3 linked regions of the Cricetulus griseus genome follow. The protein of the gene in region 2 interacts with the protein of the main gene of each other region in a biochemical or structural test. Links are inferred from orthologs where the notes say so. Each region holds a gene or a part of one and is shown on either strand. Other genes may lie near its edges.

Region 1 (6,155 bases), about 140 Mb from region 2:
ACTGAATTTATTTATTTAATTATAATTACACAGGGGCTGGTGGCTAGTGAATTATTTATCTTCTCATGCAACCCTAAAACCAACCCTAGGGGTATCATCAGCCCACTTTACAGATATAGAAAGGCTAAGTGACTTATTTTTCACTATGGATGAAAAAAATGCAAGTCCAAGGACAATAACCTGGACCTGAAATAATTTTTCTAGTGACATACTGTGTGCTTTTCAGTGCCCCGTGTGGTTCCTCCCAGTGAAATGGGGTGGTTTGGATCCACACAAAGTCTAGAACTTCCTTGAAGCTTCCAAATGGAGGGTCCCATGGGAACAATGGGCAAAGAAGGTAGCTCATTGGCAAAGAGGACTGACTAGCAAGAAAAGGTACCCAAGACTAAGAGACTGTCAGACTGTTTTCTCTCCACCTCTTCCAGCATCCACCCCAGTCTCTGTCTACTTGCCTAGTCGGTCCATGGCCATCTCAGTCTCTGTCTCCTGACCAGAAAGGTCAGCTGCGGCAAAGCTTGCCTGTGGAAGAAGAAATCATTACCAGAAACTCAGGCATCTGGGACATGTCACCACCTTGACGCTCTGAGCCCACCATCCCACCATCCCACAGTGCCCTTCACACTTCGGGGCTTGCACCTGCTGGCTAGAGATAGCGGGGTCGTAGGCATCACCCCAACAACACTTCTCCACCCAGACCACTGAGAATGCCTTCTTGCAGTGGCCAACTGACAGCTGCAGGTTTTGATCTCATCTAGGGCCCTCTTCAGAAGTCTGGGTACCAGGGCCTCTCCATGATCAGAGACCCTAGAGCCAATCTGGACAGCTCCTGGGTCTCAGGGTTTGTAATTCCAGGTCTGTCTATAAACCCTTTCCTCTATCATTTTAACAGCTCTAACCATTCCTTTTTCTTGGCCAGGATTGGTAGCTGTTTCCTGCACCTGCCACTTCTCTGCACACCTTCCCCTTTTCAGTTACTTGGCCTCATATCTAACAGCTCCTTTTTTACATTTTATGTTCACTGGTGTTTGCCTGCATGTATGTCTGTGTGAGGATGCTGGATCCTCTGGAACTGGAGTCAAAAAGACAGCTGTGAGCTACCAGGTGGGTGCTGGGAAGAGCAGCCAGCACTCCCAACCACTGATCCATCTCTCCAGCCCCTAACAATTCCTTTTTAACAGTGTCTCCCAAGTGGTACGTGGGGAACCAGAGTTTTAGTTCCTAAACAGTGAAAGGAACACTTATATCCCCACTGCCAACCAAGTAATTTTATGCCCCATTACTTCAAAAGTCCCCCAGACTTTATTGTCCTCAATATCTCTCTCCAATGGAACCAGTTAATGTCTACAGCTTGAGTCATTAGGCCAGATTTCAACGAGCCCTGTCATGCGCTCAGGGTGTGACCCCTGGAAACTGGAGGTGGTTGTTCTGACCTTGCAGAGGTCCTATGTTGACAGAACAATTATGAAAACACCTAATACAGGCTGGAGATGTAGCTCAGTTGGTAGTGTTTGCTTAGTATGCTCAGTGTCCCAGGCTGATTTTCCAGCACTACATAAGAGCAAGCATGATGTCACATACTCGTAATCTCTGCATTTGGGAAGTGGGGGCAGGAGGATCAGAAGTTCAAGGTCCTTGGTCACAGAGTGAGCTCCTGGGCTACAAGAGACCCTGTCTCCAAAACTACAATTAAAGGCAACAACAATAACAAAACCGCTGGGCGCTGGTGGCGCACGCCTTTTAATCCCAGCACTCAAGAGGCAGAGACAGGCGGATCTCTGTGAGTTCAAGGCCAGCCTGGTCTCCAAAGCGAGTGCCAGGATGGGTTCCAAAGCTACACAGAGAAATCCTGTCTTGAAAAACCAAAAAAATTAAAAAAAAAAAAAAACGGGGAGGGGGCTATGAGAATGAGAAGGGAAGAAGAGGAAGGATGCAGAGGTCATGAGGGAGCAGAAAGGTTGAATCAGGTCAAGAAGAAAGGGTATGTGATAGGTAGGGTTTTAGTTGGGGGCGGTGGTAGGGAAGGGAGGGAGGGAGAAGGGAACTGGGATTGTCATGTAAATCAATCTTGTTTCTAATTCAAACAAAAAATGATTAAAAACAATAACAAAACCACCTGTTAGACTGCAGAAGTAATGTTTCTCTGACTTAAATTCATTTTATTTTTTAAAGTTTTTATGTATTTATATATTTACATCTATTTGCTTGTGTGTGAATGTACGAAGAGGAGGAGGTGTTGGATCCCTTGGAGAGGGAATTGCAGGTGGCTCTGAGCCACCTATGGTGGTTGCTGGGAACCAAACCAAACTCTGTGACACCATCACCATACTAGCTCTCCAATCTTACACAAACTTTTCATCATATACCTGTACTTAGCACACACCTTAGTTAACATTCATTATCCAGTCATGACTGGATTTTTAATGATTCAATTCCACCTCCTGTGGTCAGTGATAACCCGTAGCCACAACTCACTGCTGTCCCCCAAGGTGTTGGAGCAAATGGGTGCAATACAGCCTTTTCCTATGACCCCAGAGCTTGGGCCCTAGAGCAGGCCTTTTACCGGAAGAGGTCTATGTTCAAGCAAGTCGGTGAACGTGAGAGGCAACATTACTCTATTTCTGACCTCCAGGCCTTTGGTGGGGCTCTGCCTTCTCTAACAAAATTAGTGCCCTCCTCTTCTGTAAAACTAATATTCTTTGCGAATCTATTGCTACCGTTGCTGCAAGTACCATCTTGGATGCTCAAGCAAGCATTCCATTCATGCACCCAATTAGCATACACATTGTGTCAGGCACATGGTGTGTCTTCTGGTAAACAGGACGCCTATTTACAGTCAAGCTTGTTGTAGATGGAGATGGTCGCTGCTTAAGGGCAGGTCATAGGAAACCGCTGTATTGCACCCACTTGAAAAAGAAGTTTCTGGAAACCCCGTGTCACCAGGGGCCTTTCCGTTTCATCAAATGGGAAAAAGAACCGGTGACATCTAACGTCCAAGGTCAGCTGCACATCCCCACCAACGGCCGGAGGTCCTCAAGGTTAAAAAAAAAAAAAAAAAAAGTCCTAGCCGGGCGTTGGTGGCACACGCCTCTAATCCCTGCACTCGGGAGGCAGAGGCAGGCGGATCTTTGTGAGTTCGAGGCCAGCCTGGTCTCCAGAGCGAGTGCCAGGATAGACTCCAAAGCTACAGTGAAACCCTGTCTCGGAAAAAAAAAAAAAAGTCCGTTTCCTCGTCGCTCCCATCTGACCCGGCCCCCAGCTCCACCTTCCCTCCATTCCTGCCACAGAGGCTCCCGAGCAGCCCCAGTTTCCCTCTTTCTCCTTCCAGTGCCTGCTACAACCCCAGGTCCCCGCGCGCTCCCGCCGTTACGGCCCGGCTCTGCGCGTGCTCGCGGGGGGGGGCGGCGTTTCCCGAGTGAGCGGCCTTCCCGAAGCGCGCGAGCCCCGCGGCTTCCAGCCCGGGGGATCGCATGGGCCCGCGCTCCCCACCCCGTGGCGCTTACCTCCGCGTTGGGGACCTGCCGCGCACTTGGCTCGCCGGACCCCTGACCGGTGGCCTCCTGAGGGTCCATGCCCCGCCGCCCACAGCTAGGCGACCGGGGACACTCCGGCACGTGACGGCCCACAAGCTGCAGAGGGGCCAATCGGCGCGGAGCAGCCACCGAGGGGGCGGGGCGGCGCAGGGGCAGCGGTGCCGGACGACACGCCCACCTGCATCGTGCCGGGACCACAGGCTCCCGAGCTCATTCTGACATCTCTGGTTTAGAGCCTTATGGCGGCGGACTGGGCACTGTGCCTTCCCCATCGCACTATTAAATGACCAGAGTCCACCCGAAAGCTTAGAAAGCCCAGACGTCGACACGGTCAGAGCCGCTGCTGCTCCATCACTTTTCACTCCACCCCATCGCAGGCTGTTCCAGATTTCAGGCTGCACCAGGACCACAGCATCCAATAATGAGTAAAATAACTCAGCAGCCTGGAGACTTGTCAGCTTGGCATACTGATCGCTTTTGAAGTCAACGTGCTCCCCAGAAACATTCTGGGTTTGTGTTATTGAACTTGGAAGTCACAACCTGTGCCCCAAGTAAGTAATGTGACTACGTTGGATAACTCTCCATTTTCTTCTTCCCACGATTAGTTTGGCTGTTTTTAATGGCTTATTGAGGATGGATACCTGAACCTGACTTGGGGCTCAGATTGTGACCCCCGAGTTCAGTAACAGTTGGGCAGCAGAAATTGACCAAATCTCCATCTTTCAATGGGCAATGTCTCCAATCTGGTTATTTCCCTGTTGCCTCGGAGACAAAAGTCAGCAGCTAGCTGCAGGTAGAGTGTACATGTGTGTATGTATGTTTGGATGGATGCATGGATTTGAATGACCCAGCTGTACAGACAGCTTTTACTGCCACCCTCCCCAGCATGACTTAAACTCTAGCAACAAACTACTTGAAGGCATGGTTATCAGGAAAGCTGGGATTCCTTATGACATTGTTTGGAACACCAGCATCTTCATCTCCCTTAAATAGTATGTTGCCATAAGGCATTAAACATCTTTTTTTGTTTGTTTTGTTTCTCTGTAGCTTTGTAGCCTATCCTGGCACTCGCTCTGGAGACCAGGCTGACCTCGAACTCACAAAGATCCGCATGCCTCTGCCTCCCGAGTGCTGGGATTAAAGGCGTGCACCACCAACGCCCGGCTAAACATCTTTTTTATGCAGATAAAATTGATTCATATTATGTTATTCTTTTTTCTTTACATAGTCTTTACATAGTACGGAGTATGACCAGTTCATGTGTGTTCTGTTCCGTTGTTATTTCTTCAAATCTAACAGACTCCAAGTCAGCACTGCCCAGGGACTCTTCTTCAATGGCAGAAATAAAAGCTCTTGATCTGTGCTGTCACTATGGTAACCACGTGTTTACCTAGCATTTAAAATATCGTCAATATGAAAAGAAACACAATTATTTAATTTCAGATATAAATTGGTAAATGTGGCCATCACAACTAACTACAACTCTATGAATTGATTATGCATATTTTATAATATGCAATGGGGAGAACTGTATATAGCAATACAATAACCCAAGGGTGGCCAGAGGTCACAATAGGGTGTCTCTCTTAGTCACCATTCTATTGCTGTGAAGAGACACCATGGCCAAGGCAACTCTTACAAAAGAAAGCATTTAATTTGCTTACAGTTTCAGAGGTTCAGTCCCTTACCGTCATGGCAGGAAGCAGGGCAACAGGCATAAAAAGCACGGTGCTGGAGAAGCAGTTGAGAGCGGCCTTCTGATCTGCAAGCAGAAAGGTATACTGGGCCTGGCACCAGCTTTTGAAACCTCAAAGCCCACCCCTAGTGACACACCTCCATCAACAAGGCCACACCTCCTAACCTTTCTAATCCTATCAGAGTTCCCCTTCTTAGTGACTAAGCATTCAAATATGTGATCCTAAGGGGAACAACTTATTTAAATCACCTCAGGTCTTGATTGCTCTCCATCTTAAATGTTGAGACAACATCTCTCACTGAACTTGGAGTTCATTGATTAGGCAATTAGGGATCCTCCTGTCTCCATTTCTCCAACGCTCTGTTACAGGGCTTTTCGCCGGTGATCCAAACTTAGGTCCTTATTCTTTTGTGCTAAGCATTTACTTACTGAGCCATCTCCCTAGCTCCCTAGCCCCTAAGATTCTTCAGTGATGTAGAGAAACAACATATTGTTAAGGGAAGCTTTTTTTTTTTTTTTTTGTAAGATTTACTTATTATGTATATAGTGTTCTGCCTACATACCAGAAGAGGGCACCAGATTCACTATAGATGGTTGTGAGCCACCATGTGGTTGCTGAGAATTGAACTCAGGATCTCTAGAAGAGCAGCCAGTGCTCTTAACCTCTGAGCCATCTCTCCAGACCGGTTAAGTGAAACTTAACTCTAATAAAACTGTGTTGACTGTTTCTCCAGTGACAGCTGATGTTATGGTAGAGGATGTAATTCACACTGATGAATGTTTCCTCCATGTTATCAGAATATCCTTCTCTGCCCCCAGCTTTGTTTCTGAGCCCCTCCTTCCCCGCTGAGACCCTTCTCCACTCCTCTCAGGGTGCTCTTCTTTCCTTGCGAAGCCTTTAAATGTAAACAGTCCTTTACTTATCAGTC
Region 2 (6,203 bases):
TCCTGTATTATTAAAGGCTGGAACTACCACCACCTGGCTGTTTTTGTTTTAAAACAAAACAACCACAGTCTCTCTATGTAGCCCTGACTGTTCTGGAACTTTCTAAACTGAAATTCTTATTTTTGGTTTTTGTTTTCCAAGACAGGGTCACTCTGTGTAGCCTTGGCTGTCCTGGAACTCTGTAAACCAGCCTGGCCGCAAACCCATAGAGATCTGTCTGCCTCTGCCTCCCAAGTGCTGGGATTAAAGGCGTGTACCACCACCACCGATTGGCTATTTGGGGGTTTTGCTTTGTTTTGTGAGATAGAGTCTGTCTACATAATTCTGGCCATCCTCGAACTCACTAAGTAGACCAGGCTAGCCTTGAATTCAAAAAGATCTACTGGACTCTGATTCCCAAGCCCTGGGATGAAAAGTGGTGGGCCACCGCACCCAGCCTGCTGATTCTTACTCTTACGGGGTTCCTCCTATCCCAGGACCCTTGTGCACTTACCTACTGCAATTCTCTTGCTATAATCACACAGAGTCCTGAAGTTATGCCACCTGCCCAGATTCAGAAACAAAACACTGTCAAATGCATATGGCTTATGACTCAAGGAGCTCTTCTACCAGTTCCTCAATATTCCTTACCCCACCCCATACAGGTAAAGCGCCAAGAGGAGACATACCACATCCACGTCTTCTCTTCCCCACTGTACTCCTCTGTGTGTGTAGTTGGGACATTCTCAATGACATCATCTCTCAGGTCCTCTGGAGCCACCAAGGGCACCCTCATCCAGAACTGCATATGAACAGTTACCATTAGTTAGAACACTGTTTTCAACTAATTGGGTCCAGAAAGCTTCCCTCAAAAGATCTTGATCCAGATCTCAAGTTAATCTCTTTATATGCCCTTCTGAATTTGATTACATCCGTGTTTAATATCTTATACACATCCTTATGCAAATACCTCCCTTGTCTTTTATTTTAGCTAGAAACAAGCATTTTCTATGATTTGGCATTGTTTTATAGTGCTAAGACTCTTACCCAGAGGCTCATGTATGTTAGGCAAGTGATTACCACTGAGCTGCACCTCTAAGCCCATAGATTCTGCTTGAAGCTCTCTCCATGCCACTTCAAAATTGGGGGTTGGGTGGGATGGGCAGTACTGACATTTCAATTCGGCCAAAAGCACTGGGGCATAACTAGGCAAAAGTCACTTCACACAGCTGACTATCATGATACTCAGCAGCACAGAAGCCTACCATGGAAGAGTGGTGGCCAGTATGGATGTGGTTGGTCAAAACTCTGGCCAGGTTTGTGTTATCTTCCTGATTCAGGGGCAACAGAAAAGCTGGAAGACCCAGATATGCCCCGAAATTCAGCTCCTGTAACATAGCCTGAAACACATGGAAAGAAAAAGCCATTAAGAACTAGGAACCAAATACTTCCTGGGTAGAGAGGAGTTTAAACTGGATCTGGTATTGTGGCCCAGGCTGTCAGGAATTCCCTATGTAACTCAATTTGGCCTTGAATTGGAGGCAATCCTCCTCACTCAGCCTCCACAGTCCTGGAACCCAGCTTTGTAGACCAGGCTGGCCTCGAACTTAGAGATCCGCCTGCCTCTGCCTCCCAAGTGCTGGGATTAAATGCGGATGCCACTACTGCTCAGTTATTTTTGTCTTTTTGAGACAGGGTCTGTCTACATAGTCCTGACTATCCTAGAACTATGTAGACCAGGCTAGTCTTGAACTCAAACTATTTTTTTTTTTTTTTGTTTTGAAGAGGGCAACAGGATCATATGCTCACTTCAGCAGCACATACATTAAAACTGGAATGAAATAGGGTCTTAGTATGTAGCCCTGACAGGCCGGGAACTCTCTCTCTGTAGACCAAGCTGGCATCCAACTCAGTTCGAGGATGGCCTCTGCTGAGTTACAGATGTGAGTCACCACACCCAGGGTCAGACTCTTAACTGTACTCTGATTTACCAGGTTCTGGGGAGTGGGAGTTACTCTCCTAACCCAATTTGATGACAGAACTAATTTCTTTCCTTTTTTCCCACCCTCCTTTTCTTTTCTGGCTTGGAACTCTCAATCCTCCCTCATTATCTTCCGGTGTGGAATGCCTCCCCAACACTGAGGTTACAGGTAGGGGTGGGTCACAGCACCTAGGTCAGACCTAGGTCAGAGCCAGGCGTTGGTGGCGCAGGCCTTTAATCCCAGCACTTGGGAGGCAGAGGCAGTCGGATCTCTGTGAATTCAAGGCCAGCCTGATCTCCAAAGCGAGTGCCAGGATAGGCTCCAAAGCTACACAGAGAAACCCTGTCTCGAAAAAAAAACCAAAAAAAAAAAAAAAAAAGGACCCCACAGAAAAACCAAACAGCCTTACCGCTTCAGAGTTCCTTCGGATCCTCTCCACTTTGGAGTCTGGACGAATCCACGGAGAAAGCTTTCCCACAATTAGCGTATTCCAGTCTGCACTCCCCCACCCAAGAAAAGACAAAGACTCAATGAGGTCTGGCATTTTCTTGCTCAATTTCTAGTTCTCAGCAGGAAATAGAGTAGAGATGAAAACAAGCCTTTTTCTCTCAGATACAGGGATAGCCTGAAGAATGGGGGAGTTACCTATATCACAGGGGTTAGCCAGTACAACCAAGTCAGAAAAGGAGGGAATTGAAGACCTATAAAGCAGAAGTTATTACTGCCTCTAACAATCAAGGGGCACACGGGATGGTCCCTACCCCTTCCTGACAGCAGTAGGTCTGATCGTGTCTGGGGGCCAGGTCGATTCTTAGCAGGTTCCTGAGTGAACTCCCTCTTGAAACGCGGGTGGAAGACAGGCATGCAGAGGAAATCAAACCTACAACCGCGACAGACTCAGAATTATCATGGAAAGTGAGGACCCAGAGATCAACCAACTGGGTTTAAACTATCTTGATTTTGCACAGTTCTATAAAGCCATCAGTCACCCCCCGGGGCTACTGAGTTCAGCCCATCTTGGGACATTTAACTTTCTCTGCACTGTGCATCAATTTCTTCCCAAAACATAGCCATGAAAGATGACTGAGAAAAGAAGGACATCCAAGGCAAATAGCATTCTTTCTTCCCTGATAACACTGGCTTTCCAGGGCTATCAAATCCAGATTTGTCCCAATACTGCCATGCCTCCCCCAGCCAGATTAACCTCTTCTCTCGTTTGCCCCCTTAAAATACTTCTTTCTCCTCTCAAATAATCTTAGCCTCCAAGGCCCTAGACGGACTGACTCGCGTCCCGCCTTTAATTTACCCAACAACTCCCCTGACTTTTGAACTCGGTGACCACACGCCTCCCAGAGTTTCATCCTCTCGTTCCTGGAACCGAAGTCGTCCCCACTCAAGGAGTAATGGTGTCTCCAGCCCTCATCCCCTGCGGGGAACTAGTCTGCCCTCCTTGGTCCCCAATTTGGATCCCGCATTCCTCACCCCTGCTTGGCCACAGCACCCAGTGTGTCAGCTATTTCGGGGACGCAATTCAGGTCCCTCCCGCTGGACACGCGGCTGCCACCGGCACCTCCGACTGCCATCGCCGCCATCTTTTCCCTCGCGCGGCCCACGCCGGGATTCCTTGCTACTAGGGACCAATCACAACGCCGAGAGCAGTCCCCGGGAGGCGGGACAAGTCGCCTTAACAACCAGAGCGTCTTCGCAGCTCCCGAGCGGAGGCGGAGGGACCGAGCGGCCGCTCCCGCCAATCCACAGGCCGCACCGTGACGTAGGCGTGGCTCCCCGGCTCGACCAATGACAGGCCGTCACTGCTGAGGCTCTGCAATCTCCCAGAATGCCGCATCCGTCTGAAGCACTCCGGAGAAAGACTACAGGTCCCATGCAACCCTGCAGTTAGCCTGAAGTACTATCATTGGGCTACCACAAAATGTCTGCGGGCCAGTGGCGCAATGGATAACGCGTCTGACTACGGATCAGAAGATTCCAGGTTCGACTCCTGGCTGGCTCGTTGGGACTGGTACTCCTTTATTTGCATCCCTTGCTAACCCAGTGTTCCTAAACCCCACTAGTCCTGTAACGTTTTGCTCTTGTCTCACAACCGCTGTACTTCCTTCACTATCTGCTTACGCTGTCATTTCCAGGTCTTAACCTGGTTCGGTATTTCAGCCATCCCATGCTGGCGTGTCTCATTCCTCTTTTCAAAGCTGTTTCTTGTATAATTAAGTGAATCTGAGCATGAAAATTTCGGTGAATGGACTATTAAGATGAGCTTTGTCTCATTACTATGCTTAAAAAATACTACACTTAAAAAATACTCTGTAGTAACTTAGCCACTAATTCCTAGTGATTCTGTCTCAAGCACAGATGTAAAGAAACACCTGCCCGCGCGCGCACCCCTCAGAGAAAAGGAATTCATGAGCGATTACAGTGCCCAGGAGTCATGAAACTGCCTCGCGGAGGGCCGAGAGAACCTACGTTTCCCCCTGTCAACAGCTGGAAAAGAAGGAAATGGCACAGGCAAGGAAGAACCTCGGAAGGGAACGGGAAACACGTACCTGAGGCAAGAAGCCCACAGACGTTGAGGACCCTCCAGGCCAATCTGTGGAGGCATTTTCTCAGCTGAAGTTCCCTCTGCCTTGTGTCAGCTTTGACAAAACAAACAAACAAACAAATAAACAAAAAAGTTAAAAGGCACTGACAGAATTCAGGGACTCGGTAGCAAGGAACCGGGAGGGGGAAATAGTAATGCCACGCAGCAGCGTTTTGCCCTTGAAGTGGGAGAGTTCAGGGAGAATCGGATTTGGGGTTCGGGGTGCAGACTGGCCATCCAGAGAGCGCCGTGTGATAGAGAGCTGCAGGGACAATGATCTGAACCACACGTATTTGGACGTTTCCAGACAGGAGTCTTGACTAGTGAGGTCACCATGGATTATGGAGGACAGTGCTCTTAGCAACACAGGAAGGCGTGGAGAAAATAGGCTCTAAGGAACCCTGGGTAACGTAAGTCCCCCCCACCCCGCACCCCAAGAACAGCCAGGAAACCAGAAAACCAAGAAAATTCACAATGAGGGGTTGAGGATGCTTTTGTACCACCACCACCACCCACCCATCACACCAACAACAGCAACCCATCACACCACCTTCACCACCACCACCACCAACCCATCACACCACCTTCACCAACAACAACAACCCATCACACCACCACCACCATCACACCACCCCACCACCCCCACCAACAACCACCCCACCCCACTCCCACCTTCACCACACCACCATCACCACCACACCCCCCACCCCCACTCCCACCCCCACCTTCACCACCACACCCCCCACCCCCACCTTCACCCCACCCACCCCCACCCCCCACCCCCCACCCCCCCTTTTGCTGCTCCCGGATCTTTGTTTTTGTTTTTTGGGGTTTTTTTTTTTTTTTTTCGAGACAGGGTTTCTCTGTGGCTTTGGAGGCTGTCCTGCCACTCGCTCTGGAGACCAGGCTGGTCTGGAACTCACAGAGATCCGCCTGCCTCTGCCAACCGAGTGCTGGGATTAAAGGCATGCACCACCAACGCCCGGCTTGCTTCTCTGGGATCTTATGCAGGATACCACATCACATTTAGTCGAATGTGTCCTTAGGCTCCAGTTGACTGTGACTATCTCTCAGATGTTCTTTGTTCCTAATGATTGTTACTTCTGATGATGTTAAAATGCCCTTCTGTTGGAACTTGTCTCATGTTTTTCTTTTGATTAAACTGGGAAAGAAAGCAGGGCGCTGGTGACACATGCCTTTAATCCCAGCACTCGGGAGGCAGAGGCAGGTGGATATCTGTGAGTTTGAGACCAGCCTGGTCTACAAGAGCAAGTGGCTCCACCGATGACAATTTTCCATGCTATACTTTTTGGAAGGATTCCACTCTGCACCGCCCTGCCCACGCCACGGGATTGGAGAACTACAGGGCCTCTCCTGTAGGGGGCAGAATTTATTTACAATTCTCCCTGCAGATCTTTCCAGTGGATGTCTGTGGGAAGTGAATCTGCCCACAATCCACGAGATAAAAACACTGTTAAGGAAGGGATATGTGATAGGTAGGGTTTTAGTTGGTGGGGGTGGTAGGGGAGGACAGGAGGGAGAGGAAACTGGGATTGTCATGTAAAACAATCTTATTTCTAATTCAAATTTTAAAAGATTTGCGCGCACACACACACACACACACACACACACACACACACACACACACA
Region 3 (6,137 bases), on a different chromosome or scaffold from region 2:
AGTGCATGCCACCACACCTGACTTTTTTCTTTACCTTAAAAAAATGTTATTCAAGCCAGGTGGTGCACACCTTTAGTTCCAGAACTTGGGAGGCAGAGGCAGGTGGATTTCTGTGAGTTTGAGGCCAGACTACAAAGAGTGCTCTAGGACAGCCAGGGCCACACAGAGAAACCCTGTCTCGAAAAACAAACAAAATTTTTTAAATTTTTTGTGTGAATGTTTTGCCTGTTTGATGTATGTGTGCAACATGTGTTCCTGGTACCTACAGATGCCAGAAGAGGTCATCAGAGATTCCCAGAACTGCAACTGCAGACAGCTGTGGGTCCTAGGAATTGAACCTGGATCCCCTGGAAGAGCAACCAGTGCTCATAACCTGAGTCATCTCTCCAGCCCCCTGGCTTTTTTCTTTCCATTTTATTCTGTAATGGCCCTTCTGGAACTCAGGTTTTAAGATGATGTTTCCCACACCAGGACTGCAAAAGTGTTCTTCTTTTACTTTTATATATTTTAGAAATGTAGCTCACCAGGAATTCTCCTCTTTCTTGTCTGTTCTAAGGAACAAATCTGCCTTTATAATTGTCCCCAGTTGTGCCAATGCATGACGAATAATCTGTCGCCTTCATTTCAGCTACTCTACCTCTGCCATAATTTTTTTATTACGATATACTGTCATTGAAGAAAACTGATAATCAAAATGTTGCCATTTCTCCCTTTCTTTCTCTTCAGTATTTACAGCTTCACCTTGCCATCTAAAAGTAAGATGTTGTCATTAGTGAGGACATTCTCCCAAAGTAAACCTAACACCACAATTGCATGCAATAACTGGACAGCAGCACCTAGCAGACCCCTCATGTTCTGACTTCCTAGTCTGTAATTCACAATACCACAATTACATGCAGTGAAATAATTCTACAGCATCACCCATGCTTTATTTTAGCCAAATGGCCATGGAAAGATAATCCTACAATAGCATCTAACAACACTTCATATTCAGATTTTCTAGTCTATCTTTCTACAATATCCTTTGTAAACTACTACAGCAAACTGCACAAGTAATATTATCTGTTCCATTCTCACCACTATTCTACTATGAAGGAAAGCAGCAGGCCCTTTCTATAGGTGACACTGGACTACAACAAACACTCAGGGGATGGAGAGGTGGCTCAGAGGTTAAGAGCACTGGTTGCTTTTCCAGAGGTTCTGAGTTCAATTTCCAGCAACCACATGGTGGCTCACAATCATCTATAATGGGATCTGGTGCCTTCTTCTGACCTGCGGTTGGGAGTACACCGTGCACATAATAATAATAATAATAATAATAATAATAATAATAATAATAATAATAATAATAATAATAAAAAACCACCAGACAGGTCCAGCGTTTCAGCAACTTTTAAAGGAACCCACCTTAAAAAATTATGTTGCCGGGGGCTGGAGAGATGGCTCAGCAGTTAAGAGCACTGACTGTTCTTCCAGAGGTTCTGAGTTCAATTCCCAGCAACCACATGGTGGCTCACAACCACCTTGAATGAGATCTGGTGCCTCTGCTGGCATTCGGGCAGAAGACTGTATACATAATAAATAAATAAAAATCTTTAAAAAAAATTATATTGCCAAGTATGGGGGTGAAGATCTTTAATCCAGCACTCAGGAAGCAGAAATTCTTTCAGAAACAAGGGAGTGGGTGAGGAGATAACAGTCTGCTAAAAAAAATTCCCTTAAGACATGTAGGCACCGATCTGTAATCTCAGTTATTCAGTAGGCTGCAGTAGGATGATCCCAAATCTGAAGTCAGCCTGGGATATGGAGTGACTTCTAGACAACCTGGTGACATCCTGTCTCAATTTTTCAGTGAATCCTTCATTTTGTGAATTCTCTTACTTATTATTACCATTGCTGTTGTTGTTTGAGAAGTTTCTCTGTGTAGCCCTGGCTGGGTTCATATCAGTAACAGAGTGAGCACTTGCCTAGGACGCTAGCTGGAAGTCGAGGTAACACCCCAGGTACCACCACCCAAAAGCAAAGCTGTCGTAACAGAATCTTTAAATGGGAAAAACCTAAGTTACTGCAAACACATGATAGTTCACATCAGGCAGCAGGGAAACAGCAAGAGTATACTTTAAATTGTGAGACTTTCTACCTAATGTTACAGTCCAAATACAAAAGAACTGGAGCTATAGTCAAAGGTAGAGCGATTATTGGAAGCTCTCTAGGCGCTATCCCCAGAACAGGTGGAATTTTTTTTTTAACCTTATATGCTTTCTCTTCCAACTCCCCCTGAACAGAGTGTTTGTCATTTCAAACAGACCAGATGTTACCTGTTCTGCCTTCAGCATTAAACAGAAAAGAAAGAAATCTTGTAGCCCGACGGTGATGGGTCATGCCTTTAATCCCAACACTCCGGAGACAGAGGCAGTGTTATGATAAATGTTCGTGGGGGACCTTTGTGGATTCCATGGCAGGCAAGGATGACCCAGTCGAAAGGACATCATGCCAGGCAGTAGGACTTAAGTGAGAAGATTATTAGAAAAAAAGGGGGGTTAGAGACACAGAGACAGAGAGAGGACAGGAAAGACAAGAAAAGTCCTGTCTGCCCCAGGGGAACAGCAGGAAAGAGAGAGAGGGAAAAAAAAAAGCGGGTAAGAGAGCATAAGTGGACAGAGACCTTTCTTTTAAAGGGATGCTTTGCATCTGGGCTGACCAGGGTACTACTGTGTGAGTGCAGGGGCAGGCCAGCATAATGACTGAATCCTTTTCAGGCAGGCCTCTGAGTTCGAGGCCAGCATGGCGAGGTGCAGGACAGCCAGGGCTGTTACACAGAGAAACCTTGTCTCGAAAAACCACAAAGAAAAATCTCGTACCACTACTTTTAACAGGTGACTATAAGCAGTCCTTGACTCAACAAGAAACTAAATATTTCTAACTGGCTTAGGCATTAAACCCTGTTTCGGGCTCTGCCTAATGCCTATTTGGTTTGGAAGTATTCATACCAGCAAACAAAGCTCCACTAACCGACACAATCTGCAATCAGGCGAAATTAACTTAACTTCTGCCCCATCCTGGGACACTGTCGTGAGTCGAAAGCCAACATTAACCAGTTACATACAACCGATCCAAAATAAAGGAGAACTTTATCTAAAACGTCTAGCAGATCGGCGTCGTTGTTTGCAGATAAAACCATGCTGCTTTGGAGTTCTCGTCCGTGCAAGCAGCCCGACTGGCCAGGGAAAGCGGCCTCGGCTCCGTTCAAGCCGCAGGAAACGAGGCGAGCAGAAACCGCTCGGCTCCCCCATTCTTGGAAGACGCGCAGGGCCGGGGCGCGCCGGCTCCTCGCCGGCAGCAACGAGAAGGGCGCGGCGGGCCCGGACGCGGGGGCCGTTAGCAGGCCGCGCGCACGCGGCTTTCCCGCCTCCCTGAGGGCGCAGAGGCCCGGCTTCCTGAGCCCGCCCAAACCCTGTCCCCGCCGCCTTCGGCCCGCCCGGAGAGCCTCCTCACCTCACGAGCTTCATCCTAGCGGCGCAGCCTCCCTCTGGTCCTACTGGACACGGAATTCGAGCTCCAAAGACTCACCGACTAGGCGTATGAATGGCCGGAAGAGCGCACGGAGGCCTGCGGATCCGCGGTGGAAACGCGGAAGCCGCGCTGCCTTCCGGCCACCGGGACAACCACAGCGGCCCCTAGCGACGGGAGGAGTGCTTTGCGCCGTCTGAGCGCGGCGTGGCTGGTGGAAGACATCTGCAGGAGGATTCACCTTAAAACTATTTATAATGGCCTGGCGCTTTCACAGTTGGAAGGAAGAGAAGATCTGAGAGAACCCCTCCAAGACTTCTTTAATCCTTGGGGCCCACATGTTGGAAGCAGAGAACCGGCCCGACAAGTTTCTCCTAGTTGGTTTGACAACTAAGCTGAGCCAATCAGATTTTTGTATATAATAGTTTTCCTTTGGGGACTTGTAATAACCCCAGAGCTACTGAGAACCTTTTTAAAAACAGGAAAGCCATTCTCAGGACAGTTTTAAATAAGACCTTCATTATATAGTAAGTTCTTCGACTTAAAAAGTTATGTGGATATTTCAAATGAAGTTAAATAAAACAATTCAACTCCTTATTTGCAATAACCACATCGTAACTACTCAAAATCTATATGTATCATTGATTACAGTGCAGATAATTTCCACTATCCCAAGAAGATTGGATAATATTAGTTTATTATATTTGATTCTTACATGGAGCATGAATTCTAATTGTTCTTAATAAAGCCTCAGACTCGGCTGACAGGGGGTAAAAACTGAAGGGTCAGAGAAGCAGAACAGCCAGCCACTAGAGTTCTTACCTCTACCAATGTTCAGACCAAAGGGGCCATCCTGTCCTCAGACTGACTGCCTCCTCAGACTCCTGTCTCCTCCGGCTTCTCTCTGCCCAGCCACACCACTCCTGTCTCTACCTCCCTAGTGCTGGGATTAAAGTATTGGGATTAAATGTGTGAGCCACCACCATCTGGCTCTTTTTTCTCTTTTAAACTGGATCAATCTTATGTATCCCGGGGTATCCCAGATCTCACAGAGCTATGCTTGCCTCTGCCTCCTGAGTGCTGGGATTAAAGATGTGTGCCATCACTGCCTGGCATCTGTGGCTAACTAGTGTGGCCAGCTCTGCACTCTGATCTGCAGGCAAGCTTTGTTAGATCACAAACAAAATATCACCACACTTACAATTATTTATTTACTTATACTGAACTCAGGAGAACATAGTGTCTGAAAGCAAAAAAAAAAAAAATCTGTTTATTGCACTCTCCAACATCCGGTATCTCCAGTCTTATGCTTTAATATGATGTGCTCCTCCTCCCCCTCCCCCCTCTTCCTCCTCCTCCTCCTCTTCTTCTTCTTCCTCTTCTTCTTCTTCTCCTTCACAAAATAGTCCAGTCCCGATGTGTGGGAACTGGTCCCAAGGCCTATGAAACCAAAGAGGGAGGCAGGCAAGCCCAGAATTGCAGTGTGCAGTTTATGGGTGACTTACAACAGAAGCATGGGCCTGGGTATCAAGAAAACCACCTAGGAACTTGAGATTTGGGTTAGAAGACAGGTGGGTTATGAAATAGGGCAAAAATTAGTTCAGAGCTAGGCATGGTGGTGCAAGTTTGAGGCTATCATGTACCATATGAGTAGACTCTATCTCTAACCTTCCATCCCCCTAAAAAGTGATTTCAGCCAAGTCAGGCTATACATGGTCTATCTCGAGGTAGTATCAGATCAGAATCAGGCCTATTCTTAGACCAAGGCTTGCCATAAGGCTTCACACACTCATGATTTTGTCTATTTTATGGTTGGAAAGCTGGCCCAGGTGACTCAGGTGTAATTGTAATAGTTACCACTCAAGATGGTTTCAGTAATGTCGAGATAAACCTACAGTCTTTGATTAATTGTCACGAACAACTGAAATGCCTCCCCCATTCAAATGTATGCTTTATAAGGATGAAGACCTTCTACATGCCATTCACTGCAGTGATGCCAGCATTGAATACCTGATACTCCTTAGTATTCACAATTCCCTTTCCACCTTGGGCCCCACCTTCCTTTTGATCCATCTCTTCCCCTTCAGTAACACAGGAATGTCTAAAGTCTCGCAATTCCTCAAGTTCATCATCATCTTTTCAGATGTTTGTGCATGTAATCTTATAATCTAGCTGACACCTATTCATTGTCTCTCAGCTATGTGGGCCCAGTATAATTGTATGTATATGCTAGTGCTGAGTCTCTCAGATGTTAAATTGAAAAGCATTGTCAGTGGTGGTGCATGCCTTTAATCCCAGCACTCAGGAGGCAGAGGCAGGGGGATTGCTGAGTTTGGTCTACAGAGTGAGTTTCAGGACAGCCAGGGCTATACAAAAGTAGCCTAAACAAAGAGAAGGAGGAGAGGAGGAGGAGGAGGAGGAGGAGGAGGAGGAGGAGGAGGAGGAGGAGGAGGAGGAGGAGGAGGTAGGGAAGGAAGGAAGGAAGGAAGGAAGGAAGGAAGGAAGGAAAGATAGAAAAGAAAAGCTTAGAAGAGCCATGGTCAACAGGCTGTAGTGCTGAATGCCTTTATTCCCAGCATTTGGGAGGCAAATTCAGTCCAATCTCTGTGAGTTTAAGGCCACCCTGG

Evidence for each region. The genes of interacting proteins can lie anywhere in the genome.
Region 1: the proteins of Prmt5 (region 2) and Coprs form a complex in vitro, tested with the Homo sapiens proteins (3 studies listed by BioGRID, with this or other methods). The link is inferred for Cricetulus griseus from reciprocal best matches to the Homo sapiens genes PRMT5 and COPRS.
Region 3: the proteins of Prmt5 (region 2) and Snrpd1 form a complex in vitro, tested with the Homo sapiens proteins (2 studies listed by BioGRID, with this or other methods). The link is inferred for Cricetulus griseus from reciprocal best matches to the Homo sapiens genes PRMT5 and SNRPD1.

Annotation. Positions count from the first base shown.
Region 1 is NW_023276807.1:66,984,391-66,990,545, reverse strand, and holds the start of Coprs (coordinator of PRMT5 and differentiation stimulator), read right to left. Parts: upstream 3,653-6,155; 5' UTR 3,570-3,652; coding exon 3,501-3,569; intron 520-3,500; coding exon 453-519; intron 1-452. UniProt on the Homo sapiens protein: Histone-binding protein required for histone H4 methyltransferase activity of PRMT5.
Region 2 is NW_023276807.1:209,733,282-209,739,484, forward strand, and holds the start of Prmt5 (protein arginine N-methyltransferase 5), read right to left. Parts: upstream 3,600-6,203; 5' UTR 3,554-3,599; coding exon 3,444-3,553; intron 2,842-3,443; coding exon 2,723-2,841; intron 2,457-2,722; coding exon 2,371-2,456; intron 1,380-2,370; coding exon 1,245-1,379; intron 782-1,244; coding exon 669-781; intron 544-668; coding exon 494-543; intron 1-493. UniProt on the Homo sapiens protein: Arginine methyltransferase that can both catalyze the formation of omega-N monomethylarginine (MMA) and symmetrical dimethylarginine (sDMA), with a preference for the formation of MMA.
Region 3 is NC_048595.1:225,868,242-225,874,378, forward strand, and holds the start of Snrpd1 (small nuclear ribonucleoprotein Sm D1), read right to left. Parts: upstream 3,653-6,137; 5' UTR 3,510-3,652; coding exon 3,496-3,509; intron 1-3,495. UniProt on the Homo sapiens protein: Plays a role in pre-mRNA splicing as a core component of the spliceosomal U1, U2, U4 and U5 small nuclear ribonucleoproteins (snRNPs), the building blocks of the spliceosome.